7 linked regions of the Cricetulus griseus genome follow. Each later gene encodes a partner of the first gene's protein in a complex. Links are inferred from orthologs where the notes say so. Each region holds a gene or a part of one and is shown on either strand. Other genes may lie near its edges.

Evidence for each region.
Region 2: the proteins of guanine nucleotide-binding protein G(s) subunit alpha isoforms XLas-like (region 1) and Tacr1 are in contact, whole or in part, in a cryo-EM structure (PDB 7RMH), measured with the Homo sapiens proteins. The link is inferred for Cricetulus griseus from reciprocal best matches to the Homo sapiens genes GNAS and TACR1. Residues at the interface, in NP_000507.1 of Homo sapiens: Arg38, His41, Val217, Phe219, Tyr358, Phe376, Cys379, Arg380, Ile383, Gln384, Arg385, His387, Leu388, Gln390, Tyr391, Glu392, Leu393, Leu394; in NP_001049.1 of Homo sapiens: Met63, Thr67, Asn68, Asp129, Arg130, Ala133, Ile134, Ile135, Pro137, Leu138, Gln139, Pro140, Arg141, Leu223, Gln239, Ala242, Lys243, Val246, Met249, Leu308, Asn309, Phe312.
Region 3: the proteins of guanine nucleotide-binding protein G(s) subunit alpha isoforms XLas-like (region 1) and Gpr21 are in contact, whole or in part, in a cryo-EM structure (PDB 8HMV), measured with the Homo sapiens proteins. The link is inferred for Cricetulus griseus from reciprocal best matches to the Homo sapiens genes GNAS and GPR21. Residues at the interface, in NP_000507.1 of Homo sapiens: Gln35, Arg38, His41, Val217, Pro321, Asp323, Arg342, Asp343, Leu346, Arg347, Thr350, Tyr358, Cys359, Pro361, Phe376, Cys379, Arg380, Asp381, Ile383, Gln384, Arg385, His387, Leu388, Gln390, Tyr391, Glu392, Leu393, Leu394; in NP_005285.1 of Homo sapiens: His61, His62, Thr64, Arg127, Ala130, Ile131, Thr132, Pro134, Leu135, Thr136, Tyr137, Asn138, Thr142, Pro143, Ile214, Ile217, Cys218, His221, Thr222, Asp224, Ile225, Arg228, Gln229, Arg231, Phe232, Arg249, Tyr250, Val253, Leu254, Asn308.
Region 4: the proteins of guanine nucleotide-binding protein G(s) subunit alpha isoforms XLas-like (region 1) and Cckar are in contact, whole or in part, in a cryo-EM structure (PDB 7XOV), measured with the Homo sapiens proteins. The link is inferred for Cricetulus griseus from reciprocal best matches to the Homo sapiens genes GNAS and CCKAR. Residues at the interface, in NP_000507.1 of Homo sapiens: Gln31, Gln35, Arg38, Ala39, His41, Asp215, Val217, Phe219, Asp354, Gly355, Tyr358, Phe376, Cys379, Arg380, Ile383, Gln384, Arg385, His387, Leu388, Gln390, Tyr391, Glu392, Leu393, Leu394; in NP_000721.1 of Homo sapiens: Thr76, Glu138, Arg139, Ala142, Ile143, Cys144, Pro146, Leu147, Gln148, Ser149, Arg150, Val151, Gln153, Thr154, Lys155, Glu235, Leu236, Ser301, Ala303, Asn304, Ala307, Lys308, Arg310, Val311, Met314, Phe372, Met373, Asn374, Lys375, Arg376.
Region 5: the proteins of guanine nucleotide-binding protein G(s) subunit alpha isoforms XLas-like (region 1) and Gpr3 are in contact, whole or in part, in a cryo-EM structure (PDB 9LYB), measured with the Homo sapiens proteins. The link is inferred for Cricetulus griseus from reciprocal best matches to the Homo sapiens genes GNAS and GPR3. Residues at the interface, in NP_000507.1 of Homo sapiens: Gln35, Arg38, Ala39, His41, Val217, Phe219, Asp323, Asp343, Leu346, Thr350, Tyr358, Cys359, Phe376, Cys379, Arg380, Asp381, Ile383, Gln384, Arg385, Met386, His387, Leu388, Gln390, Tyr391, Glu392, Leu393, Leu394; in NP_005272.1 of Homo sapiens: Met75, Arg134, Ser137, Leu138, Tyr139, Ala141, Leu142, Tyr144, Tyr145, Glu147, Ile216, Ile219, Val220, Arg222, His223, Gln226, Ile227, Leu229, Gln230, Arg231, His232, Lys244, Gly245, Thr248, Arg300.
Region 6: the proteins of guanine nucleotide-binding protein G(s) subunit alpha isoforms XLas-like (region 1) and Gpr12 are in contact, whole or in part, in a cryo-EM structure (PDB 7Y3G), measured with the Homo sapiens proteins. The link is inferred for Cricetulus griseus from reciprocal best matches to the Homo sapiens genes GNAS and GPR12. Residues at the interface, in NP_000507.1 of Homo sapiens: Gln35, Arg38, Ala39, His41, Val217, Asp323, Asp343, Leu346, Arg347, Thr350, Tyr358, Cys359, Pro361, Phe376, Cys379, Arg380, Asp381, Ile383, Gln384, Arg385, His387, Leu388, Gln390, Tyr391, Glu392, Leu393, Leu394; in NP_005279.1 of Homo sapiens: Met79, Arg138, Ser141, Leu142, Tyr143, Ala145, Leu146, Tyr148, His149, Ser150, Glu151, Ile220, Ile223, Val224, Arg226, His227, Ala228, Gln230, Ile231, Gln234, His235, Phe237, Lys248, Gly249, Thr252, Leu253, Ile300, Arg304.
Region 7: the proteins of guanine nucleotide-binding protein G(s) subunit alpha isoforms XLas-like (region 1) and Taar1 are in contact, whole or in part, in a cryo-EM structure (PDB 8W88), measured with the Homo sapiens proteins. The link is inferred for Cricetulus griseus from reciprocal best matches to the Homo sapiens genes GNAS and TAAR1. Residues at the interface, in NP_000507.1 of Homo sapiens: Gln35, Arg38, Ala39, His41, Asp215, Val217, Phe219, Thr350, Tyr358, Phe376, Cys379, Arg380, Asp381, Ile383, Gln384, Arg385, His387, Leu388, Gln390, Tyr391, Glu392, Leu393; in NP_612200.1 of Homo sapiens: Thr58, Asp120, Arg121, Ala124, Val125, Cys126, Pro128, Leu129, Arg130, Tyr131, Lys132, Ala133, Asn136, Ile213, Ile216, Ala217, Gln220, Leu223, Ile224, Asn228, Lys248, Ala249, Thr252, Phe307, Tyr308, Pro309, Trp310.

The regions. Positions count from the first base shown.
Region 1 is NC_048599.1:4,771,452-4,775,915, reverse strand, and holds guanine nucleotide-binding protein G(s) subunit alpha isoforms XLas-like, read left to right. Parts: upstream 1-1,510; coding exon 1,511-3,863; intron 3,864-4,076; coding exon 4,077-4,351; downstream 4,352-4,464. UniProt on the Homo sapiens protein: Guanine nucleotide-binding proteins (G proteins) function as transducers in numerous signaling pathways controlled by G protein-coupled receptors (GPCRs).
Region 2 is NC_048601.1:73,759,163-73,762,878, reverse strand, and holds part of Tacr1 (substance-P receptor), read right to left. Parts: intron 2,859-3,716; coding exon 2,708-2,858; intron 1,029-2,707; coding exon 832-1,028; intron 1-831. UniProt on the Homo sapiens protein: This is a receptor for the tachykinin neuropeptide substance P. It is probably associated with G proteins that activate a phosphatidylinositol-calcium second messenger system.
Region 3 is NC_048599.1:148,760,424-148,764,568, forward strand, and holds the start of Gpr21 (probable G-protein coupled receptor 21), read left to right. Parts: upstream 1-1,154; 5' UTR 1,155-4,145. UniProt on the Homo sapiens protein: Orphan receptor.
Region 4 is NW_023276807.1:121,968,319-121,972,504, reverse strand, and holds the start of Cckar (cholecystokinin receptor type A), read left to right. Parts: upstream 1-1,282; 5' UTR 1,283-1,553; coding exon 1,554-1,665; intron 1,666-2,392; coding exon 2,393-2,644; intron 2,645-4,186. UniProt on the Homo sapiens protein: Receptor for cholecystokinin. Mediates pancreatic growth and enzyme secretion, smooth muscle contraction of the gall bladder and stomach. Has a 1000-fold higher affinity for CCK rather than for gastrin.
Region 5 is NC_048595.1:20,064,449-20,068,937, reverse strand, and holds the start of Gpr3 (G-protein coupled receptor 3), read right to left. Parts: upstream 2,807-4,489; 5' UTR 2,677-2,806; intron 1,638-2,676; 5' UTR 1,633-1,637; coding exon 640-1,632; 3' UTR 1-639. UniProt on the Homo sapiens protein: Constitutively active G-protein coupled receptor that maintains high 3'-5'-cyclic adenosine monophosphate (cAMP) levels that a plays a role in serveral processes including meiotic arrest in oocytes or neuronal development via activation of numerous intracellular signaling pathways.
Region 6 is NC_048597.1:82,425,094-82,428,042, reverse strand, and holds Gpr12 (G-protein coupled receptor 12), read left to right. Parts: upstream 1-1,348; coding exon 1,349-2,353; downstream 2,354-2,949. UniProt on the Homo sapiens protein: Promotes neurite outgrowth and blocks myelin inhibition in neurons. Receptor with constitutive G(s) signaling activity that stimulates cyclic AMP production.
Region 7 is NC_048595.1:243,172,641-243,175,786, forward strand, and holds Taar1 (trace amine-associated receptor 1), read left to right. Parts: upstream 1-1,447; coding exon 1,448-2,443; downstream 2,444-3,146. UniProt on the Homo sapiens protein: Intracellular G-protein coupled receptor for trace amines, which recognizes endogenous amine-containing metabolites such as beta-phenylethylamine (beta-PEA), 3-iodothyronamine (T1AM), isoamylamine (IAA), cadaverine (CAD), cyclohexylamine (CHA), p-tyramine (p-TYR), trimethylamine (TMA), octopamine and tryptamine.

The sequences.
Region 1 (4,464 bases):
CCAAGTACAGCGTCTGCTCTCTGGTGCTCACAGCATGAGGAGGGGGACTGGCAGGGGTCTGCTAAGGGATTAGCGAGGGGTTAGACGAACTGAACGCGAATCGTCGGCAGGCTCCCGGAGCCGGAAGCCGCGAGTCTCGGTCGCCGTTACTGCCGCGGCACGGTGGGTCGGTGGGTTAGTGCTTATCGGGTCCTCTAGTTTTTAAGACCACTCTAAATGGGTCACGATCCCACGTATCCCACCCAGTCTCCATTCCCCCTTCCTGAGAAGGCAGAAGCCCGTGCTAGGTGGGGGTCTTCCGGTAAGCCCCGCGCCCCCTCCCCTATCTGCGCCGCCGGCGCCGCAGCGGTAACCGCGTAGGGGTCTTTGCTCGATTTTGCCGCAGTGTACCGCCGAGACCCTTATTTCTACTGCGTCACCATCCACATAAACAAGCCGAAGCCTGATGCGTCACGCTAGGCTATTGCTGAGAGCCCCCCCACCGGAAGTGTAATGGGGAAGGGGCATATTGAAGGGGGATTTACCGAAGCTATCCTTGACAAACAGCAAACAAAAACATTTAAAAAAAAATAATAAAATTACCCCGGAGCATTTAAAAAACAAACTGCGTGTTCATATTTGACAACTCATCGCCCTTCATCCCCTCTCCGCCTTTCCGGTGGGCTCACGACCACCTGTCGCATTTTTATGATCGCTCCTCTACCCCTTCCCGGGCATCCTAAAGGCTCATTTCCCCAACTCAGAGCTGAGAACGGGTAATTGCCCGAGGCTGGGGTCCTCGGATAAGGTGTTTGCCGCAGACTGGGGTAATCTGGGGTGACAAAGTCCTCCTGCAGTCCCTCCTCCCCTCGGGAAGAATCTGATGGGGCGGGAGGGTTTCAGCGCCTGTACTCTGTCAGACCAATGCCCACGTCTTACGTCACGTGGCCCAGCAACGCAGGAGAGCGCGCTCTCTCTCTCTGGCCAGGGGAAAAGCGAGGAGCTCAGACTCAGAAGCAGTCTGGGAGAGGAGAGGAAGGAGGCGAACCTCCCTGCGAGGCCTGCGCTCATCAGCCCCCATACCCAAAGTCGGGAACTGCCGGCACCGGGAGCCAGCTCCCGGAGCCGGCTTAGCACTGAGACCGGCGTCCTCTGGCGGCAGAGAAAGAGTTTTACTAACGATTTTCGAGACGAATCGGCACGCTCTTAGATGCCAAGAAGGCGGGGCCAAAGTTAGCAAAGTAAGAAGAGAGTCCAGAAAAGTCGTGGGAGTGGCTGGCCGACCGCAACTTGAAGGCAGAAGTGTGGCTCCGGAGGCTCCGGGTCTTCCCAGCAAGAAATGAGGTACTTCAGCCACGATCTTGAGTTTTAGCCTCTCAGAATCTATCCTTACAAAGATTGGAAACTGAGGCTGGAGAACTTTCCAGCCAATACTCGAATATTTTAAAAGAAAAAATTTTTTGACCCTAGTTTGGCTGGGTGCTCCGTCTTACGGGGCCCCAAATTTATTTTAAAAAACCGCAACCGTGTTATGGGCATGCGCAGCCGCGTCCACGGCAACAATATGCCAGGACAACACGATATCCCCGGTGAAGTCGGGGAGCAGCCCGAGCAAGAACCTTTGGAGGCCCCAGGGGCAGTTGCCCCCGGTGCTGGGCTTGGCCCAGCCGAAGAAATGGAGGCCGAACCGTCTGCCAATGAGCCCATCCCCGCCGAGAACGGCGCTGAGGGCTATGGACCCCAGGGGGTCTCCGGAACCGACTTTCAGGGCGTCCACCAGGCGGTCGAGGAAGTCGGAGTGGGTGGAGACTATAGCCCCCCACCAGAGGAATCCATGCCATTTGAGACGAAACAGCCCAGCCCCGGAGGTTTCTGGCCCACCCTGGAGCAGCCTGGAAGATCTGGGGCCCAAGCAGGTCTCAAAACCTTCAATCCAGCGCTTTTGGAGCCCGGGACCCCCAGTGGTGCGAGCCCCGCCCAGGGAACCTACAGCCCCCCACCAGAAGAAGCTATGCCATTTGAGTTCAACGAGCCTGCCCAGGAAGCCCATAGCCAGTCGCCCTTGCCAGTCCCAGACCTTGCGCCAGGAGGTCCGGAGGCAGAGGTCCTCAGAGCACTTCCCGCGGAGCCCGGGAACATCAGATTTGCAATCGCTAGCTTGCGAGATGACTACAGCCCTCCACCTGAAGAGTCTGTGCCGTTTGGGCCCGATGGAGAAGAATTTGGGGGCGATAGCCCACCCCCGGGCCTCCCCCGAGTCACCCGACAAGTCGGCTTTGGCGGCGAGTTCCCGACAGCCGCGGTCCCGAGTGCGCTCAGTCTCGCTCCCGCCGAGAACGCGCCTCCCCTCTGGGTCCACAGCGCCATTGACAGACCGTTCAGCGAGGCTATCAGAGCTCCCGCTAACTTCGCCTGCGACAGTCCCCCAATGGAGATCTCCAGACCCCCGCTGGAGATTGGCAGAGCCTCCTCTAGGGTCGGCGACGACACAACTGTCAATATGGACGGCCCCCCAATCGCAAGTGTTGGCCCGCCCATCGAAGTCTCCGGAGCACAAGATAAGAGCGAGCGCGGCGCAGAGAGACCCCCAGTTGAGCGAGAAGCAGCCGACATGGAAGGAAGCCCAACCACCGCTGCTGCGGTGGAAGGAAAAGTCCCTTCTCCGGAGAGAAGAGACGGATCCTTCACCCAGCCAGAAGCCATGGATGACAAGCCAGCCTCAGCTGCCCAGACCGTCGCTACCGAACAAGATGCCGCCTCCGCGGCTGCCAGCGGCGGCTCTCCTCCAGCCCCAGCAACACCCGCGGATCTCCAAACCGATCCCGAAGAAGTCGGAGCCACCCCAGCTGTCCGCGCGGAGCCTGACGGAGGAGCAGCCCCGGTCATCGCAGCAGCAGCCACCCCTGCCGAGTCTGAAGGTGGAGGAGATCCAGCCGCCGCGGAGGAGCCAGCCTCCGAGGCAGTCCCTGCCGCCAAGGCCGAGCCTGCCTCCGGGGCAGCCCCCGTCACCCAGGTGGAGCCCGCAGCGGCGGAAGTCTCTGCTAAGGCAGAGCCTGCCGCCCGGGCAGCCCCTGTCACCCCTCCGGAGCCCGCTCCCCGGCCAATCCCCACTGCCAGAGCCCATCCGGCTGCCGGGGCAGTCCCTGGCGCCCCAGCGATGCCAGCCTCCGCTCGGGCAACTGCCGCTAGGGCAGCCTATGCAGGTCCTCTGGTCTGGGGAGCCAGGTCACTCTCGGCTACTCCTGCCGCCCGGGCATGCCTCCCGGCCCGTGCAGCTGCCGCCGCCCGGGCAGCCTCTGCTGCCCGGGCAGTCGCTGCGGGCCACCCAATCTCTGTCGCCCGGTCAATGTCTGCCTCCCGGGCATACCCTCCCGCCCCGAGCAGGGCCCATCTTAGACCCCCCAGCCCCGAGATCCAGGTTGCTGACCCGCCTACTCCGCGGCCTGCTCCGAGGCCGAGCGCCTGGCCAGACAAGTATGAACGTGGCCGAAGCTGCTGCAGGTACGAGGAGGTATCATCCGTCATCTGCGAGATTGACTCCTCCAGCGATGAGTCGGAAGAAGGGGCCAACGGCTGCTTCCAGTACCTTCTGCGACGAAACCGCCGCCCCGGCCAGACCCGGAGCCACACGGTCGGATGCAACCCAATCCGCAACTTCTTCACCAGAACCTTTGGAAGCTGCTTCGGAGCCCCCGAGAGAGCCCGTTCCCTCAGCCCCGGGAAGGCCAAGGATCCTTTTGAAGAGAGGCGCAAACAGATGCGCAAAGAGGCCATTGAGATGCGAGAGCAGAAACGCGCAGATAAGAAACGCAGCAAGGCCATCGACAAGCAACTGGAGGAGGAGAAGATGGATTACATGTGCACACACCGCCTGCTGCTTCTAGGTAATGCGGCATCTTCTGCCCCTGGGCAGTAGGGCCGCCCTGGGCACCCGGGGAGGAGGTGGTAGGGCCTTCCGGTGGGGCTTGGGCCTTGACCACGGGAGGAGGGGGTCTGGAAACCCTGATAGAAGTTCCACGGAGGGACCCCAACTCTGCCCTGGGGGTGGGAGAGGGGATTTTTTGAGGGTTCGGGTGGCCGAAGTATATACCCTCCAGGGAGAAAAGTGGTGCCGAGCGACACTGAGGGTCGTTACCGGCCGGAGGCCAGCGCCAGCGCCAGCGATCGTAGGCTGGACAGGCGGGGGCGTGAGGTGAGCCCAGAACTGCTGGGGAGGGCCCTTCGGGGCTCCCCCGGCTTAATTGTTCGTGACCGCGGTGGGCTAGGGCCATCGGGGTGCGCGCCCCCGCCTCGCCTGGCACGGCTGCTTCGACTCAGACAGCTTGTTGTTGGTGTGTGTTGGTGTCCATTTTCTGTGTTCGCCTGTGCATGACATGCTCAGTGTGTCCCAGTTTCATATCCCTGGCACCTTCAATGTACCCGCCGATTGTGTACTTTCACTCTGAAATGGGTAGTCTTGTAGAATTGCGCCATGGCGCCAGCAAA
Region 2 (3,716 bases), on another chromosome or scaffold:
GATGAAACTGTGAGGTGCATAGAGAACACACATACTTCTAATGCTTGTGTCTCAGTTACAAGGGGGCCCTTCCCAGCTGCAGAGAGAGAGAGAGAGAGGGAGAGAGAGAGAGAGAGAGAGAGAGAGAGAGAGAGAGAGAGAGAGAGAGAGAGAGAGAGAGAGACACTTACTGGCTGTCAGCTTAGGTTTAGTTTCAGTAAGAGACTCTGTCTCAAGGGAATAAGGTGGGGGATGACAGAGCAGGACACCTGCCATCTTCCTCTGGCTTCCAGTCGCACACACAGATGCCCACTCACACATACAAATTTTCACACACACAAGAAAAAAAACACATTACACATGAAATAAAAGTAATTTGTTTCCTTTGATCAAGAAAACCAACCCACTCTGTGCTCACACTGCTCACACTGTTGCAGAGCCCCAGTGAGCATTTCTTGGAGTGTGGTTAGCTTGCTGCAGACCCACCTGTAGGGAGAGACCCTGGATACCTGTAGCATTGACCACGCCTGTTTTGGCATGGTCACAGGTATTCAGAGAGGTAGGATAAAGAGAGAGGAGGCTCGGCTCTCTCTCTCTCTCTCTTTCTCTCTCTCTCTCTCTCTCTCTCTCTCTCTCTCTCTCTCTCTCTCTCTCGGTTCAGGTCAGATCTTAGAGGCATCTGAGACTGGGCTTCTTGGAGTGCCAATCTGGTTATCGGCTTCTCGTGTGAGTATCCCCTCTTAATAAATACCATTAAATAACCATATCCAGTGTTCGAGTCTGTTCCATATCACCCACCACTCCCTTTTGATGGTGGCTTGTAGTTTGGATGTGTGAGCATGGTGTCCTCACCTGTCATTGAGGCAGCAGTAGATGATGGGGTTGTACATGGTGGAACTCATGGCCAACCACATGATGGCCAGGTAGACCTGCTGGATGAACTTCTTGACGTAGAGATCTGGGTTGATGTAAGGCAGGAGGAAGAAGATATGGAAGGGCAGCCAGCAGATGGCAAAGGTACACACGACCACGATCATCATTTTCACCACCTGGGGAGAGGGCAAGGCAGGCAGGCCCATGAGCATGTCCTTCTGTGGGATGGCTTCTGTCCCCTCCCCATCACTGTGCAGCGTGGGTGGGAAGGGAGGTGTTTACAATGTTGTCTTCTAAGGCGGCTGGGAGACCTTTAACACTCGGGCTTAAGGATCCTGGTTACAGTTCTCTGCCTGTGACCCAGGACTACCATCATCGCTACCACGAGGGACTTGTTAGGAATCGCAGGTTATTGGACTTGTCTGTCCTAGCTATCTAGAATTATAACCTGAGAGTGGACCAGGAAACCTTCAGAGGACTCCGATGTGCTGTTATGTGACCTTGCTGGGCAATGTGTAGAGAAGCCAAGGGAGAGGCAGTGAGCAGAAGTGGATGGGGACTCAGGAGAAAAGCTCCAGGGAAGGCAGCAGAGCACTGGGCCAGGGGAGGGAGCTGCGGAAGGTGCTTGGTCTGGAGACATCGCACGCTGAGTTGGAGTTGCCAGTGGGATGTGATGTGTGACAATATTAGGACCCAGGCCTTTGGGAAGCAATTAGACACTGATAGCAAAGATTTATAGACAGGATTAAAGCCTTATGAAGAGGTCTGGGAGCTCTCTTGCCCTTCTACTGTGAGAGCACCCAGTGCAAAGGCAACTGTCATGAGCAGGAAGTACCTTCACCAGACAGGGACTCTGCATTGGTCCAGGTCTCCTGGACCCTAAAGCTGTGAAGACCAATTTCTCTTGTTTATAAATTTCCAGGTATAAGTGCTTTCTTTGTGTATGCATGTGTGTATGTGTATTACTTGTATGCATTTGTCTGAGTTGTATGTAGCTGTATGTGTATGTGTGTGTGTATATGAGTTGTGTGTGTATAAGGGTATGCATCGATACACATATGAGTGTGTGAACTTTTGCATATATGTATATTAGCACATGTGCTTGTGTATGTGTATATGAATATGTGCATATGTGTGTATGTATGTTAATGTGTTTATGAATGTCTGCACATGAAGGATTATGTGAATGTGCTTGAGTATATATATGGGTATATGTGTATTGTGTGTAAGTATGTGTGTGTATGAGTGTATTTGAGTACATGTATCTGTATATGTGTGTGAATTTTTGTGTTGGGTGTATTTATTGATGTATGCACATATGGGTATATGTGTATAAAGTTTGTGAGTGTATGTATATGTATGTGAGCATCTACACCTGTATGTGTACATAGGTTTGTGTGTATTTGTATATGAGTGTGTATGTACATTTATATGAGTATTTGTGTCTATGTGCTATGAGTCCTTATATATATATATGTGTGTACATGTGGGTATGTGTGTGTATTATATGTATATGTGTAAAGTAGGTTTTTTTATATGTACAAGCATGGGTATGACTGTTTATGTATATGAGTGTCTGTATGTGGATGTATACATGTATATGACTGCTGGCGTGTATGTGTATGAATGCATGTGTGTGGATGAGTATTTTGTATATGTGTGATTATGTGTACATATGAAAGTTTGCACATGTGTATGAATGTGTACATGTACTTGTGGGTATGAAGAAAGACCCTGCTTTCCTCTCCTGTTCCTGAGGTCCAGAGATGCCTTATGGTTTCTGCCTCTGGGGACTCCCTGCTCCCCCGCCACTGTCAGTGACAGGGTGGACTATGCCTGCTTGACCTTTGCTCACCTTGCGCTTGGCAGAGACTTGCTCGTGGTAACGGTTGGAGGAATCCCCAGGGATCTCGCTGGCCCACAGTGTGATCCCTACCACAGTGTATGCATAGCCAATCACCAGCAGGGGCAGGAAGTAGATCAGGATGGTCACACAGATGTGGTACCTGTGAGGCAGACAGAAGAGTCAGTTGTAGAAACAGCAGGCCATTAGTTTGTAGCTACCTTGCTCAGCCTTGGCCATCAGGCAGGGAGGAACGCCACCTACACAGAATGAATGGGTGATGATCCAGAGAGAACTACTCAATTTGATTTATATTCTTCTAGCAGACTTTCCCCATGTTTATAAATTTTCTTGTTTTTTGCAAGCAAATATCTGACATGGAGCAACTTATTGGAGGTAGTGTTTGTTTTGGTTTGCATTTTGAAGGGCTAACATCCATCATGGCAGGCAGACATGGCAGCAGGAGAGGCAGCTGGCCACACTTGCTGTCTCACGAAGCGGAGACACAAAGGAAGTGGGCCTGGACCGTAAAACTGGCTAGCTCTTAGATTCCCACTTTCCCCAGCAAGGCTACATTTCCTAAGTTCCATAGCCTTCATCTCTCCTTCACCAGCACTCCACTTGCTTCCACTCATTTCTGTGTAAATTTCAACAGCTCTGCCACATCTCCAGCCTTCTCGGAGTATGAAAATCAACAATTTGAAAATGCTTGAGGAGCCCCAAGTCAAGCAAGCTGAAAAATTGGTGAGGCAGAGTGGTAGCCCATTGATTGTGTGCAGGAGGGCTGATCCTGGCTTCTGGGTCTCTCAAGGTCCTCTGGGTAGTCACCTCCTCCTACAGCCACCACAGCGGTGGCTGTGTGTTGTGTGCCCAATTTGCTTTCAGTCCTTCCTTCAGGTTGCTGTGGTGACTGTGTTCACAACAAAGCATTGAAAGATGACACAGATGGACAGAACCAGAGAACACTTCAAGACTTCCCCATGGTCCCTTCCTGAAAGAACAGATCTGCCTCCTGTGGACT
Region 3 (4,145 bases), about 140 Mb from region 1:
AGTTGCCTTTAAAAGTATTTTGGGAAAGGAAGAGGGCCATTCGTACTGGGTAAGAGAGAAGAGTGGGAGGGAATTTGAACACAAAGTATAATGATACACTATTATAATGATATAATAGAATATTATGAAACCCATTATTTTGTACACTAAAAAGTATACCAATGAAATACAGGTGACACATACACACAAACTATCCTATAGCAGTTGCTGCCGTAGGTCTGCCTCTTTAAATTACTTGTGAAAATAAAGACTCTGCATATCTTTGTGAAAATACTTCCATTCCATTGAGTTCCTGCATATCAAATCTGTCTAGGGAGTTCTAAGTTTTCTTGAATTCCAAGAATGTGAATATATTGTTTTGACTGTTTTGAAATTGTTATTATTTGGGACTTTTTCTTTTTTTTAACCCACAGAAATTTTATATCATTTAGTTGGGTATGGATTGAACATCCTTATCTAAAAGCTTGGGATCAGAACTGTTGCAGAGTCAGGGTTTTCTATTTGGTTGTGGTGCTGTTGTTTTGTTTTGCCTTAGTTTGGTTTGCATAGACTATCAGTTAAACCACCATGATAAGAAAATCTGAAGTGCTCTGAAACATTAAGCTAATGAAAGTCCTGAGTTTGCTTGTAGGTCCTGAACTGTAAGAATAGGAACTCCTACCAGGCCTGTATTGTGGGTATACCAGCAGTTATCATTACAACTCTATTTGAAAGCTCTTCTAACCTAAAAACAGAATTTTTGTTGTATTTGGCTTATGTTATTTATTCAAAGGAGAATTGTTTCTTTGTACCAGTCCTGAGACACTTAGGCAGTTAACAATAAACAAAATTTCATGAGAGTTTAGAAGAAAATACATAACCACTGTATTCAGATGACATTAAATGTTTCTTATTTAGCCAGGTGGTGGTGGCACACACCTTTGATCCCAGCACTCAGGAGGCAGAGGCAGGTGGATCTCTCTGAATTGGAGGCCATTCTGGTCTACAGAACAAGTTCTAAGAGCATCAGAGATACACAGAGAAACCATGTCTAGGAAAACCAAAAACAAACAAAAGGTTTCTCATCCAACCCTTTTAAAAGTCATGTCTTCTTTCTGTCTGTCTGTCTATTTTGTTTTTTGAGACAGGGTTTCTCTATGTATCCCTGGCTGTCCTGGAATTGACTATGTAGACCAGGCTGGCCTCGAACTGACAGAGATTCACCTGCCTCTGCTTCCCAAGTGCTGGGATTAAAGATGAGTGCCACCACAGCCCAGAGGACTTGTCTTCTGAAGTCATCCTGGAGGTTGGTATTTGGGCACAAGGTATAGTGCTGCAATATTGGGGAGAAGCACTCACTGTGCAGAGGTGAGGAGGCTGAGGTAAGGCCAGAAGCCTGAAAGGGCCAAATCTTAGAAAGTGACATTAATGGTTTTGTGTTAACAGGGAAAAAAAGCTGGAATCATTTTATTTCTTGTTTATTTTATACTATTTTGTATTTCCAGTACTGACCATACATACAAGGCAGATGCTCCAGTGTTTAACTGTGTTTCCCAGCACTTGGGAGGCAGAGGCAGGCGTATCTCTGTGAGTTCCAGGCCAGCCTGGTCTCCAGAGCGAGTGCCAGGATAGGCTCCAAAGTTACAGAGAGAAACTCTGTCGAAACCCCCCCCCCCGAAAAAAGAAATGAAATAAAGTAAAGAAACAGTATGTATGATTTCATGTGTCTGACAAGAGGCAGGTTGTCTTGCTTCAAATCCTAGCACCACTGTTTTCTAGCTGTTGTTGGGCAATTTACTATCCCCAGGCATAAATAGAACCTTGCTAGTATGATTGTTAGTGTTGACAGGATTAATAAATGAAAGTATTCAGCACGATTCATAGTCACATTAAGTGTAAGCAGCTGCCCAGTCACTGTTATTAACTTATTTATCATGTTAGTTTTAGAATGTTGTTTTTGTTCCAGTGAAATATGGCAAACGATAATTGTGGCTTATACTGAGAATAGTAGCAAAGGAGTCTCTCTTATTTACTGGGGACATGTTCCAAGCTCTCCAGTGGTTGCTTAAAGCATCAGATAGTGCCAGACTTGTAACTGTTTTATCCTTTCCATACTGTCAATAAAGTATAACTTACAAAGTAGGCATAGTAAGAGGTTAAAAATAATAGATAACAACAAAATAGCTGTGACAGTATGTTGTGATAAGTTATGTGAATGTGGGCTGTCTTAAACTGCAGGATTTTCCATTCAGTGCTTTCAGACTACAGCTGAGCATAGATAATGGACTGTAAAATTGCAACTCAGGAGACTGCTATACTGTATAAGAAAGCTCAGAGCCCAGCATACCATGTGCTGGTGGATGAGTGTGGAAAGGGACCTTGAGAAGTAGAAACCGGAGTCAGTACCTCAAATAATCTTTGAGTGACAGTGGTTTAAATATAGAAAGATGCTGCTGTTTTTTGCTGAGGCCTGTCGTATACTGTTGTTAGTCTTGTGCTTCAGCATGTTTTAGGTCCTTGCTTTCCTCAGCTAAACAGTGTTTAGACTTCACTGAATTGTGATTGTAGGCATCCTCTTGCCCACAATAAGAAAGCCTGTATAAAATAAATCAGAATACAAGTTGGATCACATAGTGCTCTGTTCAGATGTGTATATCTCCTGGGATTATTACAGAGGCCATCATTGGTTTACTTTTACTCTTCTGGGGATATGGGGCTTTATTCAGGCAGAATTATACCATTCCCATGGCACCCAATTCCTAGTTATCTGAAAAAAAAAATGCTATATGATTTCAATTTGCGTAGTGTTAGATTGCATTGTAAGATACGATACTTGTACCTGAATATCTGCATGCTGTCACGTTTGCTATCACTTGGGTGGGGAGAGATGAAACAGCATCACAGCATCCTTTCATCATATTGGCCAATATCCAATAACTGGTAAAAGAAAATTGAGGCTGAATATTCAAGTCTTCCAGCTATAACTTTTTATGTAGCTGAATTAGAATTCCTCCATTGTCATGTACTGTTAACACACTTCCTTTCTTTGATACCGTTCTTTGTTCTTGGGAAAGTGGTAACAAAAATAGGACTTTCCCCCTCACTCCTCTGGTAGTGGCCTTCAGCCCAACTCCTGACTCCTCCCTCTTTTTCCATCCCCCTCCTTTCAGTCCCTCACCACCCACCCACCCCTGTAGTTACTGCCCATTTTTCTTACTGGCAGTCTGGATTCTACTCATTTGCCTAAGAGGGGGATTCTAGACAGACAAGAGACAGCTTTCAGATGCTGCACTGCTGGCAACCCACGTCAGTGCCCACAGTGCAGTGTAAAAACTCAGAGCTTCTCTCTGGCGATGAATTCAAATGCCCAAGATTCTAGAATGTGTGTGAGCACAAGTGTTTTTCTTCCCTTCCCCCTTTCTTCCTTTTCCCAAGCCCCTTCCTCCTGCTTCCCCTCCTACTCCTTTATCCCCTCCCTCTGTGCTGTGCCTTAGTTCTGTTGTACAGGGGCTGAAGTACAGTGCTGCATTGCAAGGCTTTCTGTTAAGGATTTATTGTGGCTTTTGTTTGGATTTCAGCATGCAGAATTACAGGTAATTGGGCTAAGCATTTAAATTCTATGCATTCTAAGCATTTAAATTAAAGACGTTTTCAGAAGTAAATAGTGCATTGGATGTAATGGAGAAAATTAATCTTGGTTAATTTTGATCAATGATAATTGTGGCCAAATATTTTCAGGATTGCCATAAGAAGGTTTTCTCTCCCACAACAGGTTAAATAAAAGAGAATGGATCTGTAATTGCTTTCCTTTTATGTTAATCTTGGAGTTGCAGTCAGTGTAGCTGCTCCTCTGGAGTAACTGTCCTTTATGGAGGCTGCTGCTGAGACTGAAGGGGTGGAGGGTGGCAGTGAGAGCTAGCTAGGGTCTTTGACTAGAGGACATGGAATGCAGAATGTAAAATGCTCTCTCCTTTTCTTCTATCAGCTGTTCAGAGGAGACACATCACAACTCCTGCTGAAGCTCCTAATCCTCCTCCCTCCGCCCCTCCCCCCTCCCTCACTTGGTGCATGGTGAACATGTCAGTATGGCAGAGTCTGGGACTGTCCAGACAACTGCCATTGGCTCTCCCTATTCCAGGAAGAATTCAAAGGGAAATTGCACGGCA
Region 4 (4,186 bases), on another chromosome or scaffold:
GATACTTAAACAGAAATGGAAAAGGAGTGGATTGGGGGTGGGAGCAGAGGGGGGATGGTGGGGAGGGACTAGGAGGAGAGTGGAGAGAGGAAACCGCAGCCAGGATATAAAAATAAATACATAAATAAATTTATTTTTTAAAAAAAATAAAGCAAGAAAGAAACACAGATCCTAATATTGCCTGTTTCTTAGATGTTCAAACTAAGACCAGTGCAGTGAACAGTGAGGGGCTTTTAAGTATTGTCCAACTTCCTGAAAAAGCCAAGCCCCTAAACAGGCCTCTCACACACTAGCCATCTCCCAACATACCCTTCACTTATTCCTTCTTCTGTCCTTCAAATAGGCCAAGCCCCTTCCTGCCTCAGGCCCTTTGCACTGGTTGTGGCCTCTGCAGAAAGTATTCTGTCCCCTGTTTGGAGGCTTTCGCATTTACATCTCAGGCTTTGCACCACTAGTAACCCCCACCCCCACCAGGGAGGCCTAAATCCCTTCCCACTTTTCCCCTCTCCAACTTAACAGCATCTGAGGTGCTCTTCTTTCCTGATGGGCTTGAGAAGTACTCAGCAAATGGTTGACTCTCAGTGAACAGGTCTGGGGTGGAGAGACAAAGCAAAACAATAAAAAATAAACAAGTGAATGAGAATTCTTGCTGATTTCTATAGTAATAAGGATCTAGGAGAGCAGAAAAGGTAGGGTATTAGGTGGGGTGGGGGAGGGAGGATGGGAGGGAGAAGGACCTGGGATTAACATGTAAAATAATCTTCTTTCTAATTAAAAAAATACAAAATAAATAAATAAAATAAAATAAAGGACCTAGGAATCTGCATTCAGAAGAGTCCCCTGCTTCTGGTTAACAAGGGCAGAGACCACAAGACCGAGCACTGTGCTTGGTAACACCTTAACAACCACCCAGAAGTTCTCTCCATACACATTACTGGGCAAGGCTCCAAAGCTAAAAGGCACTAATTGCTTTTATATAAGGAGATAGGAATGCAGTCTCTCTGTGTCCCTTAGTCCCAATGGTCTGCATTATCGGATCTGTTACCATGTTAATTGATGCTGTCTCACACAGACATTTCAGGCTTCACTCTGAATATGTCTGGGACACTGACAGGCAGAGAAGAGAGGTGGTAATTGGGAAGTCTCTCTCTTTCTCTCTCTCCACCCGTGTGTGTGTGTGTGTGTGTGTGTGTGTGTGTGTGTGTGTGTGTGTGTAGATGTGGCCCCACTCTGGGAAGGGTTAATATGCAGCCAAGCTGCCTGTGCTCAGGGCCTCAGACCGGCCCAGGAATGGGAGGGGTGGGCCTGGAAGGTGGAGCAGGCTTGACTTGCACAGGCTGCTTCTCCCCACAGGAGTGCAAGTGCTTGCCCAGCTGGTCTGAGAATGGTGAACTCAAGTTGCCTTTAGGAATGGCTGCAAAGCCCACACCTGGAAATACCCCCTCCCTGCCCCTCCACGGCAGGTTGCATTTAGGAGACTCTCCGGTCATTAGAGGAACGAGTCAGGAGTGAGCCATTCACCAGCTCGCCAGCACTTGGTAGAGAGCAGCAGGATGGACGTGGTCGACAGCCTTCTCATGAATGGGAGCAACATTACTCCCCCCTGTGAACTCGGCCTGGAAAATGAGACTCTTTTCTGCCTGGATCGACCTCAGCCTTCAAAAGGTAGGTGTTAGAGGCTGTGACTGGAGTTCAGAAAACCACCCAGTTAAGGGAGATGATAGCAACAGCAAGGTTGACTAAAATGTATGTACAGTGTGTGTGTGTGTGTGTGTGTGTGTGTGTGTGTGTGTGTGTGTGTGTGTGTGTGTACAAAATCCCTGTGAGACAAAGCTAAATGAAGTTGTATGTTCAGAAGTTTGGATAAACGAGTAAGAGAAATCTACAGTCAAATATTCTTATTGTTCCCATGGGAGAGTTGGGAACTCATGAAGGATTCGGGGGAGATGACAAAAGCATAGAAGAGCTGAGGGCAGAAAGGGGTGCCAAGTGTAGAAGCCGGGACTACACACATTACTGAAAAAGCATTGTCAGGGGTAGAGGTTACCTTTTCTTAGGAGAAACCCAGCATGAAGAAGTGATTAAAGCAAAATAAAATAATGCTTAGCCTCAGGGAAAGGAAGCCGTCACCATTCAGGAGCACTGTCCTTAGGAAAAAACTGCTTTCCCCAGTGATCTGTTGACACACACCAACCTTTAAAAAAGCAATTGGATTGCCCTGTGCTTCCCTGGGCTTGTGTCTGTGTGATGCAGGCAGCACAGGGATACTCGGGTTCAGTGATGCATGCCAGCAGGGGACATCATCAGAAATGACCACTCCTTGGGGGGCTAAGGTTTTCACATTCCACCCTCCTAACCCACCTCCCTGCAACTCTTCCCCATTCCTCTGCAGAGTGGCAGCCTGCAGTGCAGATTCTCCTCTACTCCTTCATATTCCTCCTCAGTGTGCTGGGGAACACGCTGGTCATCACGGTGCTGATTCGAAACAAGAGGATGCGGACTGTCACCAACATCTTCCTGCTATCCTTGGCTGTCAGTGACCTCATGCTCTGTCTCTTCTGCATGCCATTCAACCTCATCCCCAATCTGCTCAAGGATTTCATCTTTGGAAGTGCTATGTGCAAGACCACCACCTACTTCATGGGTGAGTCGCTGCAGGTGGCTGTTGATGGGGCTCTTCTCACTCAGCCCTGTTTAGCCCCCGCTTTTGCCAGCTGCTTGACAGTCACAGCAGAGGGACCCTCCTGGGTTCCCAAATACCAAGCATCTGGCTGGCTGGGCCCATGTAGGACATGGGTGCTCTCTTTACAGCAAGTCAGCCCTTCTACTTGCAAGGGAGTGTGTGTCAGAAGTTGAGACAAAAACACAGTGGGAACTCAGTGGAGTTTCCTCTTTGAATAAGGACAAGAACTCATAGGTGACTTCAAGTCACTCCATACTTTTCTGCTGGCAGATGATTGTATGCCAATTAACCCCCAAGTTGGGACAGGGTTTCTTGGAATGGAGTAGGTGCATAGGATCAGGGCTCTTTGTTGTTGTGTTTCTTGTTCTGTGAGAAATGGAGGCTGTTTTAAACCATTCCATCTCTGTCTAGCTACTCCTTTCAGGATTCACTTCCCAGATTGTTCTCTCAAAGCCTGGGGGCATCTTAGGCCAGGGGTCTGTGGAGTGTGTGTGTGTGTGTGTGTGTGTGTGTGTGTGTGTGTGTGTGTGTGTGTGTGTGTGTTTGTGTAATAAGAAGCTGAATATGTTCCTAAGGAGCATGGATTATGAAGTAGATCCTGATTGGATGAGCCCTATAGCTCGCTGCCAAACATAATGATGGTTGTAGCAAAACCCACAAAGCTACTTTCTTAGTACTTTTTTATGCACCAGGTATTTTGCTGAGCACTTTCACTTCCATGATCTTATTTCTTGTCCACCTGGTAAATAGCTATCATCAATTCTTCCCTATCTTGCCAAGCACGTGCCAGGGGAAGCATGGGGGCTGGGGTTTGAACCTAGATTAGCAGGCACCACAGTGGTGAGTTCATGCCTCAGCTTGCCAGCTACTGAGGTTCTCCTAACCCTGGACAGAAACATGTCCCTGGTCCTCTCTGTCTGTCACACTACCTTGTCCCTTGCCCATTCTGAGAACCAACTGAGAAGAAGAAGAGGGTGAGGAGTGTGTGTGTGTTTGATTCTGACGCAAGCTGTGTTAAACAGAGAGCACTGACGAGGGCTAGGGAAATCTTCGCAGGCCAGAAAGCATTGAAAAGCCTTTCTTTTTCCCAATTGAGTGTTCAAGATCCAACAGATGACACAATGATGATGAATCGATGACTCTCATGCCCCCAGATTAGTAACTAAGGATGTCATTTGTGTTCAAGTCCCCTGAACATATTCTAAAGCCTTAAGAAAAATGGGAAGGATCTTGGTTAGATAATGAAGCATTGTTGAAAGCTTGTTAACTCCTGGGGCCCATCCATGTGCATCTGCTGGGCTTTAACATCTTAGCTAGAGTGGGGAGGAGAATTCACAGAGGTACTCACATAATCACACAGCTCTGAAGGCCGGGAAACTCTTTGCTTCAAGGTGGTCAAGTCTATGCTGTGTGAATTTCACCTCAGAACAACTTTAGTAGCCAAAATTAAACAGCAAACTAATTCTGGGATTATTTGGAATGTCATAATAGCTTACTTGGTTA
Region 5 (4,489 bases), on another chromosome or scaffold:
GGAGGAGGCTCTGGTTTCTATGATCTCTCTGATAAAAAATAAGCAAAAATAACAAAATACATTGTTTTTCTTTCTCCATCCCCACTCCGGGAACTGAGGTCAGAAATGGGGACAAGGGGGCTGGGGACAGACACCCTGGTACAGACTAGATTTCAAAGTGTGGGTCTCTTTTTTTTTCCCTTATCACCCTTAAGTAAATTTATAAATAAATACATAATAAATAAATAAATATACTTTCTTTGTATGTTCATATATAGAGTGAGAAATCTTTTCTGTAGGCAACTAAGTGATTAACCTCTCTGTACTCTGGACTTTCAAAATTCAAAACTAAAGTGACATGGTCAAGGTCAAGTTTCAGGGAAGGAAGATCAAGGACTTGGACTGGTGCTGTAAAATTCCCAGCATTCTGGAATTGCAAACCACTTGGAACCACCATCTGGAACATTCTAGAACCATGCAGCCAGCTGGGCTGGGCCCCTGAAAGAATCTTGAACAAGATCCTAAAACACCCAATGTCTTAGAACTCCAGAACCAGCTGGGTCTTAAGGGTGTGGAGCTGGGGGTTTGGAACTAAGCCCTGGTGGGCCTAACATTCTGAAATTCTGTAGTAGTCAAAGCCACACAACCACCAGGATGAAACTAGACATCACTAGGGGACCGGGACCGGAACGGGATCTTGGAAGTCGAGCAGCAGCAGCAAATGGCCCACAGCACCTTCTGCACGTCTTGGTTGCGGAAGGCGTAGATGACTGGGTTGATCATGGAGTTGTAGGTGGCAGGGAGCAGGGTGAGATAGGTGTAGAGATATGGAGAGTTGGCATCTCCCAGGAGGCAGTAGACAGTGAAGGGCAACCAGCAGGCAGCAAAGGCGCCAAGCACCACGGCCAATGTGGCGATGCCCTTGCGGGTGGCCACGTAGTGAGAGGCAGGCAGCAGGTGTCGTTGGAGGGCAATCTGCTGGGCATGGCGGCAGACAATGCGGCAGATCTGGGCATAGAGCTGCAGCATGATGCCAAACACCATGAAGAAGGCTACGGCCAGGACCACCAGATGGTTCTTGGAGAGGGGATATACCACACCACAGGTGGTCAGGCCATCCCGGCAGTTCCAGGCCAGCACAGGAACCAGCCCCAGACCCAGGGCCCCCACCCACACCAAGGCCAGCATCAGATAGGTCCGCGTTACTGTTGTCTCTGAGTAATAGGTGAGGGCGTTGTACAGGGAAAGGTAGCGGTCAACAGTGATGGCCAGCAGGCTGCCAATGCTGGCAGTAAAGGCCATTGCTAGCACACCAACCAGCACCAGGCTCATCTCTTGTGAGCCAATGCAGAAGACAGCCGCAAAGTACAGGACCAGGCCCAGGCCCGCCAGCAGGTCTGCTATGGCCAAGCTACCCACCAGCAGGAACATGGGGGCACGGAAGGCAGGAGTGCCCACGATGATGGCCACCACCAGTGCGTTCTCGCAGGACACCAGGGTGCCTGAGATGCACAACACCACATCCCAGGCCTTGGGAGAGGGCAGCAGTGTAGCTGGGCCTGTGGGTTCCTCTCCTGGGTCCACACCGCTCACATTGACGCTGCCTGAGCCAGCTGAGAGCCAGGCCATGGAGCTGCCTGTACCCCACAACATGGTACCTGTAGAAGAAAGGCCCTATGAGATACTGGCAGGCCCGTATTCTGACAGGAGGCCCTTGGGGGAGAGATACCTCTCAGGATAACAGGTAGGGCACCAATGCCCTGTCCCCCAATTCATGTCCTGAGGCTCTTGCCCCATGTTTTGTCCTCTGATACCTCCAGGCCTCTAAACAGGGGCCTCTTTTCCTGCCCATCTCTTCCCTGTGTCTCTTCACTCTCCTTTCCTTTCCTATTAGTCTTAAAGACCTCTTTGCCACGTGTGGTCAGAGAAGTGGATTAAGCTTACCATAAGTGAGTGGGGAACCACAGGATTCAAGGTGAGCCTTAAAAGGGCTCATGACTAGGGGAGGGAAACATGTCAAGAAGGAGGGCAGTCAGCTCCCTCCCATCAGAGAGGATGACTCGGTTCCTGAAGCTCCCAGACCCCTCACGATTCTCAGCACTGCGAGCCTCAGGCTCCGCCCCCGGGCAAAGCCGGTGCAGCTTTTTGCCAGCCCCCAATCGACATTCCTAGGGTAACACCTGGGAACTCATTTCCCCTGTACTCGCTTCCGGAATTCTGTCTCCGGACAGACCCCCTTTCTCCACCTAACCTCTGGGTCTCCGTAGCAGACACCCCCTGGTGGAAGCCTGGATTCCTGAGTCAGACCCCTCCTTCTGCTGGGACACCTGGGTCTTGGGCCTGACTCCGCCTCCTGCCTCGGATAACTGAATCCCTAAATAAGACACCTCCCGCTGCTCGGACGCCCAAGTGCCCGCCCCAGATGCCTCCTGCTCTTTCAACCTCAGATAACTGCTGGTCCCTCCAGGGCCTCGGGTCCCGCAGGAATGCTCGCCCTTTGCCGGGTCACCCCATCACACCGCTCGAGCATCCTGACGCTTGGGGAGCCGCGTGCTGATGCAGAATCTGCTCGTCCAGACTCCCAGCTACGACCTCCGGACCCCGAGCAGCGGCCCGCAGCCTTCCGCCGGCCCAGCGCCCCTGCACCCTACGTGTCCTCCCAGACCCTGGGTGGCCGCGGCAGGGCCCACTACTCACCGCTCAGGACCGGGCGCGGCCGGGCCGCGGGGAGCCTCCACTCAGGTCCTGGCAGAGCAAGGTGTGCGCGGACCCCAAGAAGCCCCCGCGGCCGCGGGAGACGCGGCGTGAGTCACCCCGCCCCGCCCCGCCCCCGGCCACCGGTTTGGTGACGTCAGAAGCCCAGTGGGCCAATGGGCGCGGCGCGCTGGAGCGCAGCGCGCGATGCGCGGCATAGTAATGAGGCCTCGCGCCGCCCGCTCCCCCATTCATAAAAAGTGACCGTGGCCGCGGCCCCGCCCCCTCCGGAGTCGGCCCGAGCTGTCCTTGACGCGGCGCCCTCTGCGGGTCGGGGGCTTTGGGGGCGCTAGTGGGAGAGCCTCAGAAAAGACTCAGGGAGGCCACAGAGGATGTAGGAAGAGGACAAGGGACCGGGATAGTCCGCGGGGGTGACGAGCACCCTCGGGTGTCAGAAATGAGCTGACACAAGACAGGTGATGGGGCTGAATGGGCGTCCCCGGTGAGGATGACAGGCTCTGCTTCTGATAGGGCCCTGGGGTGACAGTGACAGGAGCACGAGGGAGTAGGGAGGTGGGTGGCTGTGACGATGGGAGCGTGGTGGCAGGATCTTGGAGGACGGTGGCTGTGGGACGTTGACGGTGGGGGAAGGGGTAGGGCTCCTAGGGCAGCTAGAGCCCTGTCAGAGTGACTGCAGCATGATGAAGCTCGGGGACCCCAGGGTCTCAGAGGTGGTGACAAGGCTTTGGAGATGAGTATTCTGGTGAAGGAACTTGAGGTCACTGTGACCCTGTCAAGTGATAAAGGATGAAGGCGACAAAGCTAAGTGAGGACTGTGGGGTCCCGGGATGCAGATCAAATGACTTGTGGTGGGCCCCAGAGTGAGGGAACAGGGTGGGAGGTCTGACTGGACAGTGACCCAGCAGGTAAGTTGCTGCCAGGACAGGTCCCGTGATGCTGGGGTTGGGATAAGGAGCTGGGTGACGTCACTTATGTGGGTCCAATAGCGTCCTCGCAGCACGGGAGGGTGTGCCTGGCTAGATTTCAAAACCTGAATTATTTATTCAAGGATCTGGAAAGCCAGCGCAGGGAGGTTGAGGAGGTGGGGGGGGGTCACTTCCCCGAAGCAGCGGGAGATAGGGAGCCGGGAAGAACTTGGAAACAGAAGGACAGGGCAGCTCCATGCTCAGAGCAGCCTCACAGAGCTCCCAGCCTAGGTACCCCAGGGGTGGGGCAGGGGGAAAACTTCTTCCCCAACTATGCCTGCCCCATGCCTAGGGAAACGCCCCATCAGTGACTCTTGTGACCCCAGTACCAGTCCTGCCCCCTCTCTCTTTGATCCTCTCTGGAACACTCAAGACTGGAAGAGGGTGATAGGAGTCAGATTAGGGTATGAGGCTGAGGAAAGGAAGGCCAAGAGGCAGGCAATAACATCACACCCTTACAGAACCAGGGCTGAAGAGAAAGGCACATTTTGGGTCAAATGTGGTGAGTTCAGCTGGTAGGAATAGACAGACCAGCTTCGAACCCTAATCCCTCCATTTCCTAGCTGTGTGACTGAGAAGTGAGTCTCTCAGGCTCTCTGAGCCCATGTTTTTTCACTTCTAAACTAGTGACATTAGTGCCTACTAGGGACTGTTAGGAGGCCCTGGGCCCATTATCAACACAAGCTATGTATTGGCTGTCAGTGGCGTATTTGGCCAGTGGAGGACACCAGGGAAGCATAGATGGGCAATAAGAAAATGGAAACTGTTAAAAAATTAATTAATTTTTTAAAAAAAGGAAGAAAGAAAATGAAGAGTGGTGACAGGAAGCT
Region 6 (2,949 bases), on another chromosome or scaffold:
ATTAATAGTGTCACTTTGGTAATTAGATGAATTGGGTTTGGGCCAGTGCCTGCAGGAAGCTTTTGCAAGATCGCCCTAAATGATTTCCACTCGCAAACGGCTCCAGGAGTACTTAATAAGTAAACCGGGAGATGATATTGGCGATCCAAGTAGCAGCGACTTTCACCCAGTTAAGCGAATGCCCCCAGGGAAACAATAACATCGAGTTTGCAGAGTGGCCAGCTGCAGCTTGTTACTGTAAGGTTCCCCTGCCCCAACCTGCTTCTGCATCCCTCCTGCACATCCAGAAAACCCAGTCGCTGTTTGCAATTCTTTTGGTCCTGAACCTGGCGTTTAGGGAAAAGCATGACAGAAGCCGAGACCCCCAGTGGCTAGGACTCATCCGGGAAGTCACGGGAACCAAGTAGGACGCCAGGTTCTCCTCCAGGACTGGGTGCAGAGCGGGTCTCGGCATGACTGCTGCAAGCGGGTGTCCATCGTGGCGGTCCCGCCCCGCGCGCAGCTGCGACCTGTGGGGGCGCGCGCGGCCTCATGGGGTTCCCGCGGGCGCGCGCCGGGCAGGGAGCGTGCAGGGCGGAGAGCCGGGCGCGAGCGCCGCCGCTCACCTGCCGCGGGCGCCACCGCGGACGTGCCACGCGGGTGGCCCGCGCTCTTCGGCAGCACCGGAGGAACCCCCCTCGGTCTGGGCGTGCCAAGGTGACCCCCGATGACCCCCCTGCCCCGCAGGCTGCGCGTCCCCACAGCTAGGGGAGCGGCCAAATGCATGCACATCTTTCTGTCTGTCTGTCTGGGCACCTCGGTGGTACACACCTACCTTTTGTGGCCCTTGCTCTTTGATCCGTGCACACGGGATGAGGCTGGGACAACCCCCCCTCCCCCCGCCTCTTTGTTTGGGTCCGGAGGTGTGTTTGGGGGTGTGCACGCGCGTGGGGGATTTTTTGGGGCGTGGGAGTTCTGGGCCCTTAAAATATTCCACCCTTCTGCAGACTTGTAGCTGCTGGGCGGTGCTCTCGGCTGTCCAGATGTCAAACAGTTGTTGCTTTTTGGCATGCAAGATGCAATTAGCCAAAGTCGGTTCCCAGCTCTTTGGCGAGCGCGCTTGTGCCGCCTCGGGAGTCCTGTCCTGTGTTTCCCTCGGTGACAAACGGCATTTCAGTTGTGGGGTTTAATCTATGCAGACTTCAGCTTTTGTTTCTAATTCCTGAAGCTCGCGGCATTTTTTGACACTGGTGTCTGAGTCCAGGGCTGTCTGTCTGTCTCTGTGTGTTTTGCATGATCTTGGATTGACACCCTACTGTACCCAAACATTAAAAAGCCTATCTTTCCGTTGAAGAGGACAGGGGTTAAAATGAACGAAGACCTGAAGGTCAATTTAAGCGGACTGCCTCGGGATTGTATAGATGCCAGTGCTCCGGAAAACATCTCAGCCGCTGCCCCCTCCCAGGACCCTGTGGCAGAGTCAGAACCTGAGCTTGTTGTCAACCCCTGGGACATTGTCTTGTGCAGCTCAGGAACCCTCATCTGCTGTGAAAATGCCATTGTGGTCCTTATCATCTTCCACAGCCCCAGCCTTCGAGCACCCATGTTCTTGCTGATAGGCAGCCTGGCTCTTGCAGACTTGCTGGCTGGCCTGGGACTCATCATCAATTTTGTTTTTGCATACCTGCTGCAGTCAGAAGCCACCAAGCTGGTCACAATTGGACTCATTGTCGCCTCTTTCTCTGCCTCTGTCTGCAGTTTGCTGGCCATCACTGTGGACCGCTATCTCTCACTGTATTATGCCCTGACATACCACTCTGAGAGGACCGTCACGTTTACCTATGCCATGCTGGTTATACTCTGGGGAACGTCCATCTGCTTGGGGCTGCTGCCTGTCATGGGCTGGAACTGCTTGAGGGATGAGTCCACCTGCAGCGTGGTTAGACCTCTCACTAAGAACAATGCTGCCATCCTGTCCATCTCCTTCCTCTTCATGTTTGCACTGATGCTTCAGCTCTACATCCAGATCTGTAAGATTGTGATGAGGCATGCCCATCAGATAGCCCTGCAGCACCACTTCCTGGCCACGTCGCACTATGTGACTACCCGGAAAGGGGTCTCAACCCTGGCTCTCATCCTGGGGACCTTTGCTGCGTGCTGGATGCCTTTCACGCTCTATTCCTTAATCGCCGATTACACCTACCCCTCCATCTATACCTACGCCACCCTCCTGCCCGCCACCTACAATTCCATCATCAACCCTGTCATATATGCTTTCAGAAACCAAGAGATCCAGAAAGCCCTCTGCCTCATTTGTTGTGGGTGTATCCCTTCCACGCTGTCCCAGAGAGCACGATCTCCCAGCGATGTGTAGCAACCTTCCTCCACCTGCAGGACACTGCCTCCACCAAGCACCCTGCTGCCCAGGATGGCCAGTACTTTCCTCCCCTTCGGTCCTTTGCGATGGATTCTCACAAACAGAAGCAATGACATCAGTCAGATAAGCAACGACAGTAGAAACCATGTCACCAGTGTTAAAAACAAAAAAGAAAAACAAAACGACTTCTCTGTTCGGCGTTATGTTGTTTGCTTCAGAAGTTAGGTTTACTATTATTTTAAAAATATTTTATTTAATAGGTTTATTTTTCTTTGTTTGGAGGTTGTAGTGGGACCCCATGTGGTCATGAAATGATGCACCAGTCCTAGGATTTTTAACCTAGACCTGAAAATAAATTGAGGTTTTTTTTTAAGGAAACTGGAGAAGGGATTACCTTTTCTGGACTTTTTTTTTTTTTTCTAGTAAAGGTGGATCTTCCATTTTGTATGTATCTAACAGGATGTGAGCTTTTTCATATGACCAAAACAGTTTACATAATTATGTTTGGAAAGACTTGTTTTCAGTAACACGAACTCAGTAATAAGTTACCAACAACCAAACCACAAACTCCTTTATTCTTCTCTACTCTCAGC
Region 7 (3,146 bases), on another chromosome or scaffold:
GGACACCAGAAAAAATAGCTGGAAAATTGTCATTAGCATAGTCCAGCAGATGATGGCTTGGACAAGAATGGCTACCAGTGGAAATAAAAAGTTGTCTAAGTCTATATGTATTTTCCATGGAGATCTAAGATAATTTTTTATCAGGTAGCTGTTTGCAACTTTAGATACTTGAACCAGTAGAAATGAAAAAGTGGTCTAAGATGTAGACATATTTTCCATGGAGAGCCAAGATAAATTTTATCAGGTAAGTATGTTTGGTCTAAGAAAACAAGAATTGCATCAAGATTTTGGATTGACTATTATCATTATTATTATTATTACTATTATTATTATTATTATTATTATTATTATTATTTGTGTGTGTACGATGGCAAGTATGTACAGTTAAGAAGATATCTTTGGGAGTCTTTCTCTCCTTTTACCACATGGCTCCTGGAATCAAACTCCAATCATCAGGCTAGCATGACAAGCACCTTTATCCATTTATCTGTGTACTCTTGAGGTGGACCTCTTATTTTGAAGATGTATAGGGTAGAGAATGAGAAAGATTTAGGCAAATTATGTAAAAAGGACAGAGAGCTTGACCTAGACATGCTAAGAGATGACATCTTCTAGCAGGCAGGAAATACTAAGCTAGAGTTGTGAGGGAAGATCAGGGTGCATGCACTAAGATTTGTTGGCTTGTAGATTAGTTTAAGACCCCAAGACCATCAGAAACTGGAGAGAAGTTGTAGAAGGGAACAGGGGTATGTGAGAGGAGAAGGACAAGTAACAGTGACAGAAAGGAGCAAAACTTGTAAGGGATGGTGACTCAGGAGCCATAAAAAATGATTATTGGAAGAGGTGACTAGGATACCAAAGACTTACCCTTGAGTTCGGCAATCTAGTAGTAAGTTGACTAAGAATGACATTGATAGAGTATAGATGGAAAATGTCTCATGGGGTGTACTCACAGGCTATTTTAAATCCCTGACAATTTAAATGTGACCTGTACAGTGTAAGTCTTCAAACTCTGTCTTTCTTCAGACAAGGACTGTTTCCACTGATTGACCCAAAATAATCATCATCTGGTTTTCTTGGGCTTTTAGACATGGAGGTTTTATGTGCCGATTTTATTTCATTTCAAGTTTTATATTTTAGCACAATGTCCATCTCCAACTGGATATTAAACATGTTTTGAATTGACTTATTAAACTAACATTGGAAATAAAACTTTCCAAGCAGATATTCTTCAGCAAGAGTGTGGAAATACGGTATAAAAGGATTAAGTTAGTTGCTGATCACTTAATCATTTCTCTTCTTCTTTTTGCTCCTCCCAGGTTTCCAGGACAAGTATGTACCCATAAGAAATGAAAGGAGATGGAACTCTAACCTGCCTATGGATTCTGGAGGAAGATTGCTCAACAGCCTAAGAGAAAAACCAGCCACTGTGTAGTTCTCTGTAGTGATGCGTCGTTGCCACGATATTAACATTTCCCACATGAACAGCAACTGGTCAAGGGACGTTAGTGCTTCCCTCTATAGCTTAATGTCACTTATAATTCTGGCCACTCTGGTTGGTAATTTAATAGTAATAATTTCTATATCCCATTTCAAGCAACTTCATACACCCACAAATTGGCTCCTTCACTCCATGGCCACTGTGGACTTTCTGCTGGGTTGCCTGGTGATGCCTTACAGCATGGTGAGGACAGTTGAGCACTGTTGGTATTTCGGAGAAATTTTCTGTAAAGTTCATACCAGCACTGATATTATGCTGAGCTCGGCATCCATTTTCCACTTATCCTTCATTTCCATTGACCGCTACTATGCTGTGTTTGACCCATTGAGATACAAAGCCAAGATGAGTATCTTGACTATTTTGGTGATGATCCTCATTAGCTGGAGTGTTCCAGCTATTTTTGCATTTGGAATGATCTTCCTGGAGCTGAACATCAGAGGAGTTGAAGAGCTGTATCACAAACAGGCTGGCTGCCTGGGTGGCTGTTCTACCTTCTTTAGCAAAGTGTCTGGGGTATTGGTCTTCATGACTGTTTTCTATATACCTGGATCTGTCATGTTGTTTGTTTACTATAGAATATATTTCATAGCTAAAGGACAAGCCAGGTCAATTCATGGCACAAGTCTTCAAATTGGATTGGAAGAGAAACACGGAATGCCACAAAGCAAAGAAACAAAAGCTGCGAAGACCTTAGGCATTGTGATGGGTGTTTTCCTCATATGTTGGTCCCCTTTCTTTTTCTGCATGGTCCTGGACCCTTTCCTGGGCTATGCTATCCCGCTCACTTTGATTGATGCACTGAGTTGGTTTGGGTACCTGAATTCTGCCTTCAACCCAGTGGTTTATGCCTTTTTCTATCCCTGGTTCAGAAGAGCATTGAAGATGATTGTCTTTGGCAAGATTTTCCAAAGAGATTCATCTAGGTCTAAGTTATTTTTCTAATGCAACACATGTAACCATTATATATTTTATTGTTTTGTAAAAGAGTTGGTGATTATATTTATGAAAATAGTGAACCAATCATAGGCAATAAGTACATTGGCTTTTAAGGTCAGTTATTTGAGTTAAGATATACGTGATGAGTTTAACCTGGTATTTGGCACAGAACAGATGTAGTAATTTGACATTATTGTTATGTAGGTTTAACTATGGTAAGTGCAGTATTAAAGACTTACATGTGAAAGAATTGTCCCTGCCATTAGAGGACCTTCTGTGAGTTGACAACAGTAATTTATTCATTCTGCAATTTAATCACAAGGCTGAATTTAGTGTAGAAATTAGAAGGAATTTGCCATACATACAACATACGTAGGAAAACAGGGGAAGGGATAGTGGTTTCTAATAAGATACCTTAATAGGAAGTCAGAAAATATTATAAATTATATACATTGATTTGCAATTAAGGTATTTCTCAAATAGATTTTACAGAATTAGTTTCAAGTTTCAATCACTGAAGATTTGGATTTACTTAATAACAGTTACATCTTCATAATCAAATTAAAGAAAGGCAGCCAATTAAAAATAACTAAGATGTACATTCCACTGTCTGTTCATAAATCTGAAGATCTCCTAGGATGTATTAAAGCCTCCCATCTCCAGACGTAGTGGCGCACATCTGTAATCTCAGTACTGTACGGCAAAGGCA